Linked DNA regions of Saccharomyces cerevisiae S288C. The protein of the gene in region 2 binds, or shares a complex with, the protein of the main gene of each other region. Each region holds a gene or a part of one and is shown on either strand. Other genes may lie near its edges. The genes, in order: UBP3 and BRE5. A codon is read from its position in the direction of its gene.

The links.
Region 1: the proteins of BRE5 (region 2) and UBP3 are in contact, whole or in part, in a crystal structure (PDB 2QIY), measured with the Saccharomyces cerevisiae proteins. Residues at the interface, in NP_014449.1 of Saccharomyces cerevisiae: Phe10 (codon at 2,331), Gln14 (codon at 2,343), Tyr17 (codon at 2,352), Glu18 (codon at 2,355), Arg21 (codon at 2,364), Lys50 (codon at 2,451), Asp51 (codon at 2,454), Asp52 (codon at 2,457), Leu79 (codon at 2,538), Lys80 (codon at 2,541), Leu81 (codon at 2,544), Lys82 (codon at 2,547), Leu83 (codon at 2,550), Asp84 (codon at 2,553), Thr85 (codon at 2,556), Ile86 (codon at 2,559), Glu105 (codon at 2,616), Phe107 (codon at 2,622), Gly110 (codon at 2,631), Thr111 (codon at 2,634), Pro112 (codon at 2,637), Val113 (codon at 2,640), Tyr114 (codon at 2,643); in NP_011078.3 of Saccharomyces cerevisiae: Leu206 (codon at 2,743), Pro207 (codon at 2,740), Leu208 (codon at 2,737), Phe209 (codon at 2,734), Ile210 (codon at 2,731), Asn211 (codon at 2,728), Thr212 (codon at 2,725), Glu216 (codon at 2,713), Phe217 (codon at 2,710), Ala220 (codon at 2,701), Ser221 (codon at 2,698), Gln223 (codon at 2,692), Arg224 (codon at 2,689), Leu227 (codon at 2,680).

What each region holds. Positions count from the first base shown.
Region 1 is NC_001137.3:469,067-474,470, forward strand, and holds UBP3 (mRNA-binding ubiquitin-specific protease UBP3), read right to left. Parts: upstream 3,359-5,404; coding exon 620-3,358; downstream 1-619. Other genes in the region: YER152C (2-aminoadipate transaminase), read right to left, coding at 3,591-4,922; PET122 (Pet122p), read right to left, coding at 4,975-5,404. UniProt on the Saccharomyces cerevisiae protein: Has an ATP-independent isopeptidase activity, cleaving at the C-terminus of the ubiquitin moiety in natural or engineered linear fusion proteins, irrespective of their size or the presence of an N-terminal extension to ubiquitin.
Region 2 is NC_001146.8:716,277-720,630, reverse strand, and holds BRE5 (Bre5p), read left to right. Parts: upstream 1-2,303; coding exon 2,304-3,851; downstream 3,852-4,354. Other genes in the region: CCR4-NOT core DEDD family RNase subunit POP2, read left to right, coding at 1-1,285. UniProt on the Saccharomyces cerevisiae protein: Has a role in de-ubiquitination. In conjunction with UBP3, cleaves ubiquitin, leading to the subsequent mono-ubiquitination of sec23.

The DNA.
Region 1 (5,404 bases), on a different chromosome or scaffold from region 2:
TGTAAATCCTGAGATAAAGTATGGTGCTTCGAGGTTAGCACTTAATTGGCGTAAGCTGCTTAATGACAAAACCCTCCTTGGGCTTGGCGTATACGAAATATGCTCCTGCGAAGCGCAGTGGCAATATTGAGCACTATGTTAACGATAACGTGTTGGACTCATCGTCTGTGCACATATGATTGAAATCGGGAATCCTCTGCTTTTTTTAGGTAAAATCAAACTTTGGCTAAATTTGGATGATTACTTAAAGTAAGAAATGAATCTTAAGAGATGTATGAGTTTTGTGATAATTGTTGTGATTCCATTGTTGCCAAAGGCCATAATATTTTGAAATTCACATTCCTTCTACAAGGTATTTGTTTCTTAAATGTTCATCTCCAAGAAATAATTGGTTTCGTGGTCTAGTCGGTTATGGCATCTGCTTAACACGCAGAACGTCCCCAGTTCGATCCTGGGCGAAATCATTTTTTAAATATGCCAAGCATAAAGTGTAACTCTGTTTCTCTGTCTGTCTCTATTTCTTTTTTAAAATCGTGCTCACTATCGTATTGTATTGTATTGTATTGTATTATTGCTATATTATTTTTTATGTATTTTGTCTATAATACCACCCCCCGTCTTAATTTCTCTTTTGATACATTAAAATATAGGCAGTCCTCGAATCAGAAGCTTCTTCGCCACCTTTCAAAACGTCATCGTCCTCTAGTTCGGTAATATTTACATCATCTATTCTATACCATTTGTTGTGCTCGCTATGATAAACATCCGCTGTGTAATGACCGCCATCGGAACTTACCCCATGATGGTATATAACTCCGGTTAGCTTATATCTTCTATCATCAATCCCTGAGGTGTTGTTTTTCAATGTTATGGAAGACATTGATTCTTCAGGTATGATTAACTCGTGACCATATTTAATTTTTTTCCTGATCTTCTCAATACGTCCATTGTACGCGTTATAGTTCGTCATTGCGTTGTCTTTGTTCACATTATTTATGAATGAGAATCTTTTGAATTGGATTAAAAGAACTTGCGGCAATTTATCAATAAAAGTCTGCTTCTTGGCCTCGACATCATTCCCTGACGAGGACTTAAAGGGTAGCAATTCGTATTCACTAAATTTTTTGAATGCAGTTTCTAGATCATTCACACCAGCATCTGAAATGTCCAATTGAATTGTTTGGAACGGATCGAGTGTAATCGATTGAGATTCCTTATTGTTCGGTATATCTAACACAGATCTGAACTGGCCACCGAAAAGTTTGGAGATTGGTGATGGAACAATCTCGACAGTCCTCTTGGCAGCGGTCTTAGTTTTCTTGCCTCTTTTGCTAGATCCGCTCACTTCATGCCAACCATTTTCTTCGGTAGAGTCATCATTGATCACGCCATATTTTTCTATCAACTCCTTCAGTCTAGGACTAGCATTTTTGATAAACTCTGCTTTTCCATAACGTGACAAATTTCTAATAAAGAAAACTTTCAATTGTTCATCATTAATACTTTGCAGCATATTTTGAATTTCATTATCGGTTAAGCCATCAATTGCAGAAATTAATTCCTCGTGTAATTGGTCCAATAAGTGGGTCAAAAATTCTTCTGCGTCTTCCTGATGGCCCCATTGCAAGTCTTTGAACTTCGGTATAGTAGACAAAGTTTTGTAAAATTCGTCAGGTTTGACAGCATCGGCAGTGGCGCAGTGTTGGAAACTCTTGGATTTTGATGATTTTTTTGCATCACTTTCCGTGGTTTTTTCAGCATCATCAGCATTCTCTAGGAATTTTTTCTCATAGGTTTCCTTATCGAATTGCTTATACATAGTCAAACAAGCATCTAATAATTTACAGGATGATGTGCCGACTCTTGAATTGGTATTCCGTGTACTGAGAACGTTAATTACATCAATAAATGGCTTACAGTAGAGTAACACTTGTAACACAGAACTCATAAAACAAATGTTGGCTCTGTTAATTATGCCTCTTGGAATAATGGAATGGACTGGTATTTTGTTTTCAACATCTTTATTCCGTAAAACGTAACTAATGAAATCGGGATCAAAACACATTCTTAACGCAATCGAACCCAGTGGCTCAATACCCTTTGTAGAAGGTGGAACGTATTTTTTATCCTTTTTCTGAGGCTGCTTGGACAACAGGGGAGAGCTGGATTTACCTATAGTCGCCGCAGCCATGTTTGTTGATGAAACGCCTGCGGTCGTACCAGAAATTGGTGTTTTAGTGACCATCGATCCGGAGACTGTTTTGTTACTAGCTTGTCTACTTTTAATCGCATCTGATGCTATGGCGGACCAGGATTTTGCTGCTGGAGGAGATGGTGAAGGTGAAGATGTCTTGGAAGTATTTTCTTCAACAGATTCCTCTGGTTCCTTCTTATCCACTACAGGTAAAACAGTAGCTTGAGGTTCCTGTATAACTTTTTCGTTACGGTCTTGCTTAGCATCCTCTTTCTTTACTTCAGTTTTCTTTTTAAGCTCGTGCGCATCTTTGCTCGCATGTGGTTTTTTATCATGAGCATCTTCTTCTTCCCCATGTGTTTCTGTCTTTACTTCCTCATTATGCTTTGGTATACTATGGCTTTTTGTGTGATGATGGGCAGAGCTCTTTTCTACAGATGAGTTCTCTAAGCTTTCAGAGTTTAGGTTCAAAGCCTTCATGTTTAATTCGTACCTTTGGACACTTGCCGCAGCAAATTCTGCTTCCGTAGTGTTTATGAACAGTGGCAATTGAATCAAGTTTGATGAATTTTCCTTGAGATTCTTTAATTTAGTGACATCAAACTTGTATAAATCATACTGTGAAGAAGAGTTGTAGGAAGAGTACGATGGTGAAGTAGCCGAAGAACCGTTGCCGTTGGAAGAGTTGGTCTGTTTTTTCATGCCCGCATTGCTGCCACTGTTTGGAGAGGCCATCATGGGGATATGATTGTTAGAGTAATTGTGATGGTAGGTGTGGGATTTGTTGTAGCTCATGCCGCTACCGCTAGAGTTGGCGCCTTGATTACCGCTGCTTCCATTGTTATTGGTAATGCCATTAGAGTGCCACTTCTTCTTGTTAATGTTGTTGTTATTGGTAGTGCTTCCGCCGTTAATATTGTTTTGCGGAGGCAAGTGATGTGGGCTGCCACTTTGATGGTAGATTGGCTGGTTTTGGTTGACCATATTAAACGAATAGGCAGGTATTTGTGTGGGGTATAGATATGGGGCCTGAGTGTAGCCGTACATCTGCAAAGGCGCTTGATAAATAGGAATCTGCATATTGGTTGGCGTAGGTGGTGGTGGAGAAGAGGTTTTCGGGTACATCGAGTACGACTCTTCTTTGTTAGCGTCTTGCATGTTCATTTTTTTTAATGATGATGGAAAGGAAAGCGGTACCTGGATGATGGTAGCAGACGAGTCTGACTTACTATTAAAATGACTTTCTTCTCTAGAAACACTTCTCTTCCCTTTCGCTTTTTCGCTGCTTGTTTGTTTTATCACATTATATTTTTTTCCTTCTTTTTCTTTTTCTTCCTTGCCTTTGCCCGTAGAAAAATTACCCTCTTATTACCGTTCACCTATATACGTATTCCTTCTACATAGTTATGTTATTGGTGATCGCATGAGATTTGCAAACAGCACCAAACAGCTCAATGCCCCTGTCGATATCATCAACTTCTAAGAAACTAATAGAAAGCCTAAAGCATGACTGACCCCAGTTTTTCTCATCGCCGATGACCTCGAAATTGGAGCCGTCGGCAAGGATGACATTAAATTTCTTGGCAAGAATAGTGGATATCTCCATGGCATTGTACGCTGGTGGGAGAGTGATCCAAGTAAAATAGCCGCCCTTCAATGGCATAATCTCGGTTCCTAGGGGCATGTATTTCTTAAGCGCCGAGGTCAAGACAGTGGCCCTCTCGGAGTATACGGATCTCAGATGTGCAATGCATCTCTGGGCGGCACCACTACGCAGCATCTCACCCACGATCATGGAGTTCAGTTGTGAGGGAGTTCCGCCAGAGACGTTTGCACCACCTTTAGATAGCTGTCTGGCGAGATTCGCGTTGATTGACTCATGGTATCCAAATCTGAGCCCAGGGGCGATCAGCTTGGAGAAAGTTGCGTTGGACACTGTATTCCCGAACGAGTCCTCACCGGAGGGCGCTGTACTTCTGTCTATGTGCACCATCCTTAGGGGCGGAGAGGGCAGCTCATCTGAGGGCGTCGTGTAATCTAGAATATCGTACACGTCATCAGTGATTATCAGCATGTCGTACTTCCGAGCGATGTCGATAAGTCTGCGTCTGGTCTCAAGCGAGTATGTGTTTCCCGATGGGTTTGCAAACGTCGGGATGCAGTACATAACGTACCTGTAGACCTTCTTGGTCAACTTTGGCCCCTGAATCATCTCTGTGGTACTATGGGGCTGCGGCTCCGCCTCGTGCTGCTCAAGGGCAGAAATCAACGACTCGAAATCAATCGAGTCGTGGCCCTGCTCGTTGATGGCGGTCATTTTCCCCTTGAATCCCGCATCTGTGAAGCAATTGTTGATCAAGAAATATGTTGGCGTGATGATGAACGCCTGCCTGGTATACCCGTTATGTGGCAAGGTTGTTTGCAGAAGGATGTTCAGCATGCCATACGAAGCGCCGCTATTCAGATTCAAATAGTCTGCCCGTGTCCTGCTCCGAGCCCCATTTTCGAACTTAAACAGCTGATCATTCAGAAACGTACAAATCTGCTCTCGCACCCACAGGGCACCTTCGTCCGAACCGTACGTCAGCGGATGCCTGTTATAGGGGTCGTTATCGTACTCCCTGGTCTCGGGCCCCAATATAGCCGCAGTCGCTTGAATTACTGCTTCTCGAGGCAGCAACCTCGAGCTCGGATGGCCCTTGAAGAAATTGATTTCCTTGTATTTCATTACCGCTTGCTAGCACGCGTTGTTCCTTGTTACAGCGATGCTCCACCCAGATTTATGTGTTGATTTCAAATCCTCTTCTCTTTATCACTAGTTCGGCATCCAGCAGCGGCAGCCCGCGATAACTTTGACGGAACTCCGCCAGCACACGTCGCGCCTGCGCTGGGCCGGGAACATGCCAAAGGACACCAGCCAGTAGTAGCGGTAGTGACCATTCGTTCTTTATCACTAGGGGCTGTCGTCCAAACAACGCCAGGGCAGCTGCTTGCTCATCTTGCTGCATCAATGCTATGCCCATAGCCTTGGTCATTTGCGGGAAGTCGCGCAGCCTTAATGGCGGCTGCCCTGGTAGCGTATCCATCTCCTGCAAGAATACCTTCCACTTTTCCCTGAGCGCCGTGGAGTGCATTGTGCCACGCGCAAACGCTTCGACTTTAATCCGTCTAAGCTCATACTCAATCAGTTCATCTTCTGGGCTGGTGCGA
Region 2 (4,354 bases):
ACAACCGAGGGTATTAGCTGTAGGAGGTGAGCAGTTTTTCTCTCAGAGGCAGGCTTCTGAACAACACCAGCAGCAAAACATGGGACCTCAGGTGTATTCGCCAAAGGTTAATAGAGCAAGAATGTTTCCTCAAGGGATGCCTGTAAATACAATTAATGGCTCTGTTAATCAGGAGATGAACAATGCCTATCTTTTGAAGCAGAAGAACGAGCCACTGTTAACTCAGCAACAACAGCAACAGCAACAACAACAGCAGCCATTTAATATAGGAACGCCTGTTTCGGTGGCTAGTTTGCCGCCCGGACTGAACGTTCTGCAGCAACAACAACAGCAGCAACAACAACAGCAGCAACAGCAGCAGGGAGTGGGACTCAATCGTCCCTTGGCTTCCCAGCTACCCAAGCATTTAACCAACCAAAGTATGCCACCGATCTTTTTACCACCCCCAAATTATCTTTTCGTTCGCGATGTCTGGAAGTCCAACCTTTACAGTGAATTCGCCGTTATAAGACAACTGGTCTCGCAGTATAATCATGTGTCAATCAGTACTGAGTTTGTGGGGACTTTGGCTAGGCCGATCGGCACTTTCAGGTCGAAGGTCGATTACCACTATCAGACAATGAGGGCCAACGTAGACTTCTTAAACCCAATACAACTTGGTCTTTCCTTGAGTGACGCCAACGGCAATAAGCCTGACAACGGTCCCTCAACGTGGCAGTTCAATTTTGAATTTGACCCAAAGAAGGAAATCATGTCCACAGAATCGTTAGAATTACTCAGAAAATCAGGTATCAACTTCGAAAAACACGAAAATTTAGGCATCGATGTATTTGAATTTTCGCAGCTTCTAATGGACTCTGGTTTAATGATGGATGATTCTGTTACTTGGATCACATACCATGCGGCATATGATCTAGGTTTCCTGATCAACATTCTAATGAATGACTCCATGCCCAACAACAAGGAGGATTTCGAGTGGTGGGTCCATCAATACATGCCCAATTTCTACGACTTAAACCTGGTGTATAAAATAATCCAGGAGTTCAAGAACCCTCAATTGCAACAATCTTCACAACAGCAACAGCAGCAGCAATATTCACTAACCACACTTGCCGATGAGTTAGGGCTACCAAGATTCTCTATATTTACTACTACAGGCGGCCAGAGTCTATTGATGCTTCTATCCTTCTGCCAATTGAGCAAGCTGTCTATGCATAAGTTCCCAAACGGTACGGATTTCGCCAAGTACCAAGGTGTCATATACGGTATTGATGGGGACCAATGATCATTTATGTACTATATGTATACACAATTTTAAAAAAAAAAGTTTAAAAGCAACATCAGCTTATGATTGGACATGTAGTAATACAGATTGGTTCTTCGATGCAATAAGCACTCTTCCACAGGAGATTGATGCGTTATTCCCGTATAGTTATCGGTCACGTGCGCTGTAGTTTGTTTAACCATTTATTTTTTCTTGGAAATTTTTTCGTCCAAAGCAGCGAAAAACATCAGGTGGCGATTAATGAAAGAATGACATATTGCAAGCAGCATAACCGTCCATTCCAGGGATAAGAGGAAGTACAAGCTTCTTTATTAATAGTTCTAGAGTGACTACATTATTTCAGATTAGGCAATATTACCTTTTCGTACCGTTTTTTTTTCCTGTCCACTGTTACTATTGTTACGGTTAAAAGTTCTATCGCAACCGGCGGACGTTAAACTAAGTCATTTGTTTTTTATCCCATTACTGTTTCAAAAAAGAGCAATTCATACCTAATTTGTACAAAACGAAGACTGTACAAGTGGTAGTACTTGACATAGGATATTTTGCTTGAGTATTAGAAGAATACGAAAAACTTCTTCAGTTTTCTAGTTACCGTTAGTACCAAAACTATTCTAGAGGAAGAATAAACAGTAAGATATTGCTTTAATTTATTTATATCACCTACCACAAGCTTTCGTTTTTTTACTCTGTTTAATTCTTCAAGTTGTGTTTTTTCCCTACATTTTAATTCATTTTTGCCCATTTAATTACATTTTTTTTTTTGTTTTATTATTTTCGTTCAAACCTCATTTTCTTTCAAATATTCAATTAGTCAATCATTTTACAGAGAATCTGTTGAAAACTTATTTTACTGATACATCTTTATTTTTCGTTGATTTTTAAAGAGAAAAAGATCACGAAGAATACTACAAAACCATCGCATTTTTTTTTTCAAGTGTGTTATAGTTTTATTACCTTGTCACTAATAGTTGCATTTGAAGTCATACCCTCGAATAGAAGTATCAAATAAAAGAAAATGGGTGTTACCGTTCAAGACATATGTTTTGCCTTTTTGCAAAACTACTACGAAAGAATGAGGACCGACCCTTCCAAATTGGCATATTTTTATGCAAGTACAGCCGAGTTGACGCATACTAATTATCAGTCCAAGTCAACAAACGAAAAAGATGACGTTCTTCCAACGGTGAAAGTTACTGGACGTGAAAACATTAATAAGTTTTTTTCTAGAAATGATGCCAAAGTTAGGAGCTTGAAACTAAAATTAGATACTATAGATTTCCAGTACACTGGGCACTTGCACAAAAGCATTCTGATCATGGCCACGGGTGAAATGTTTTGGACAGGAACTCCGGTCTATAAGTTTTGTCAAACATTTATCCTGCTACCATCCAGCAATGGGTCTACGTTTGACATTACCAATGATATAATCAGATTTATTTCCAATTCATTCAAGCCTTATGTCTTAACAGATGCTTCTTTGTCACAATCTAACGAGGAGAACTCTGTCAGTGCAGTTGAAGAAGATAAAATAAGGCATGAGTCCGGAGTTGAAAAAGAAAAAGAAAAAGAAAAATCACCAGAAATATCGAAACCAAAGGCCAAAAAGGAAACGGTCAAAGACACAACTGCGCCAACTGAATCGTCAACTCAGGAAAAACCAATTGTCGATCATAGTCAACCTCGGGCTATACCCGTCACTAAAGAGTCCAAGATTCACACCGAAACGGTACCATCTAGTACTAAGGGCAACCACAAACAAGATGAGGTCTCTACAGAAGAGTTAGGAAACGTTACTAAACTAAATGAAAAATCTCACAAAGCCGAAAAGAAAGCTGCACCAATCAAGACAAAGGAAGGCTCTGTTGAGGCCATAAATGCTGTTAATAACTCTTCTTTGCCCAACGGTAAAGAAGTTAGTGATGAAAAACCGGTACCTGGGGGCGTAAAGGAAGCTGAAACTGAAATTAAACCAATAGAGCCACAGGTTTCCGACGCCAAAGAATCCGGCAATAACGCTTCAACACCTTCATCTTCTCCAGAGCCCGTTGCGAATCCACCAAAGATGACATGGGCCTCAAAGTTGATGAATGAAAACTCCGACAGAATTAGCAAAAATAATACCACGGTTGAATACATCAGACCTGAAACACTACCCAAGAAACCGACTGAAAGAAAATTTGAAATGGGGAATCGGAGGGACAACGCTAGTGCTAACAGCAAAAATAAGAAAAAACCAGTATTCAGCACCGTTAACAAGGACGGCTTTTATCCAATCTACATTAGAGGTACAAATGGCTTAAGAGAAGAAAAATTGAGAAGTGCCTTAGAAAAAGAATTCGGTAAAGTTATGAGGATAACAGCTGCAGACAATTTTGCCGTCGTCGACTTTGAAACTCAAAAGAGCCAAATCGATGCTTTAGAGAAGAAGAAAAAGTCAATTGATGGTATTGAAGTATGCTTAGAAAGAAAAACAGTAAAGAAGCCCACGAGCAATAATCCTCCTGGCATATTTACTAATGGAACACGTTCTCATAGAAAGCAACCCCTAAAAAGAAAGGACTAGTCAACCACAAGCCTTTTAAAAAGAAAAATTGAAAAAATAATAAAAAAATTTGAAAAAGAAAAAAAAAAATCATAAAACCAATCTTAAGAAAAACCAAAAAAAAACCGCTAATTAAAATCTAAAAAATTGAAACAAGAAACTGTATGATTAGTAACTAATATACTGGCGCGGAAGGGAATGAATGCCATTTAAATGAGATGATTATGAAAATATAGCGTAGAGTAGATGCGCGAAACCGAGGCAGAAAAGAAAAAGAGACAAGTTAAAAATTGAATATAATGATATATGGGCACTTTCTTCTGTGCTAGGAAACGGAGGTAGAAGGGGATAGCAAGCTTGAGCAGTAATTAAAAAAAAAAAAAAGCATATTGATAGATAGCTCATTTGTAGTTAACTGACGACATTTATGTACATAATTAAAATAGAAGAAAATTTTCAAAAAAAATTCTCCTGGCGATTGTTAGGGACAAGAAAACAAGCCATGTTGTAACCAATAAATGTTA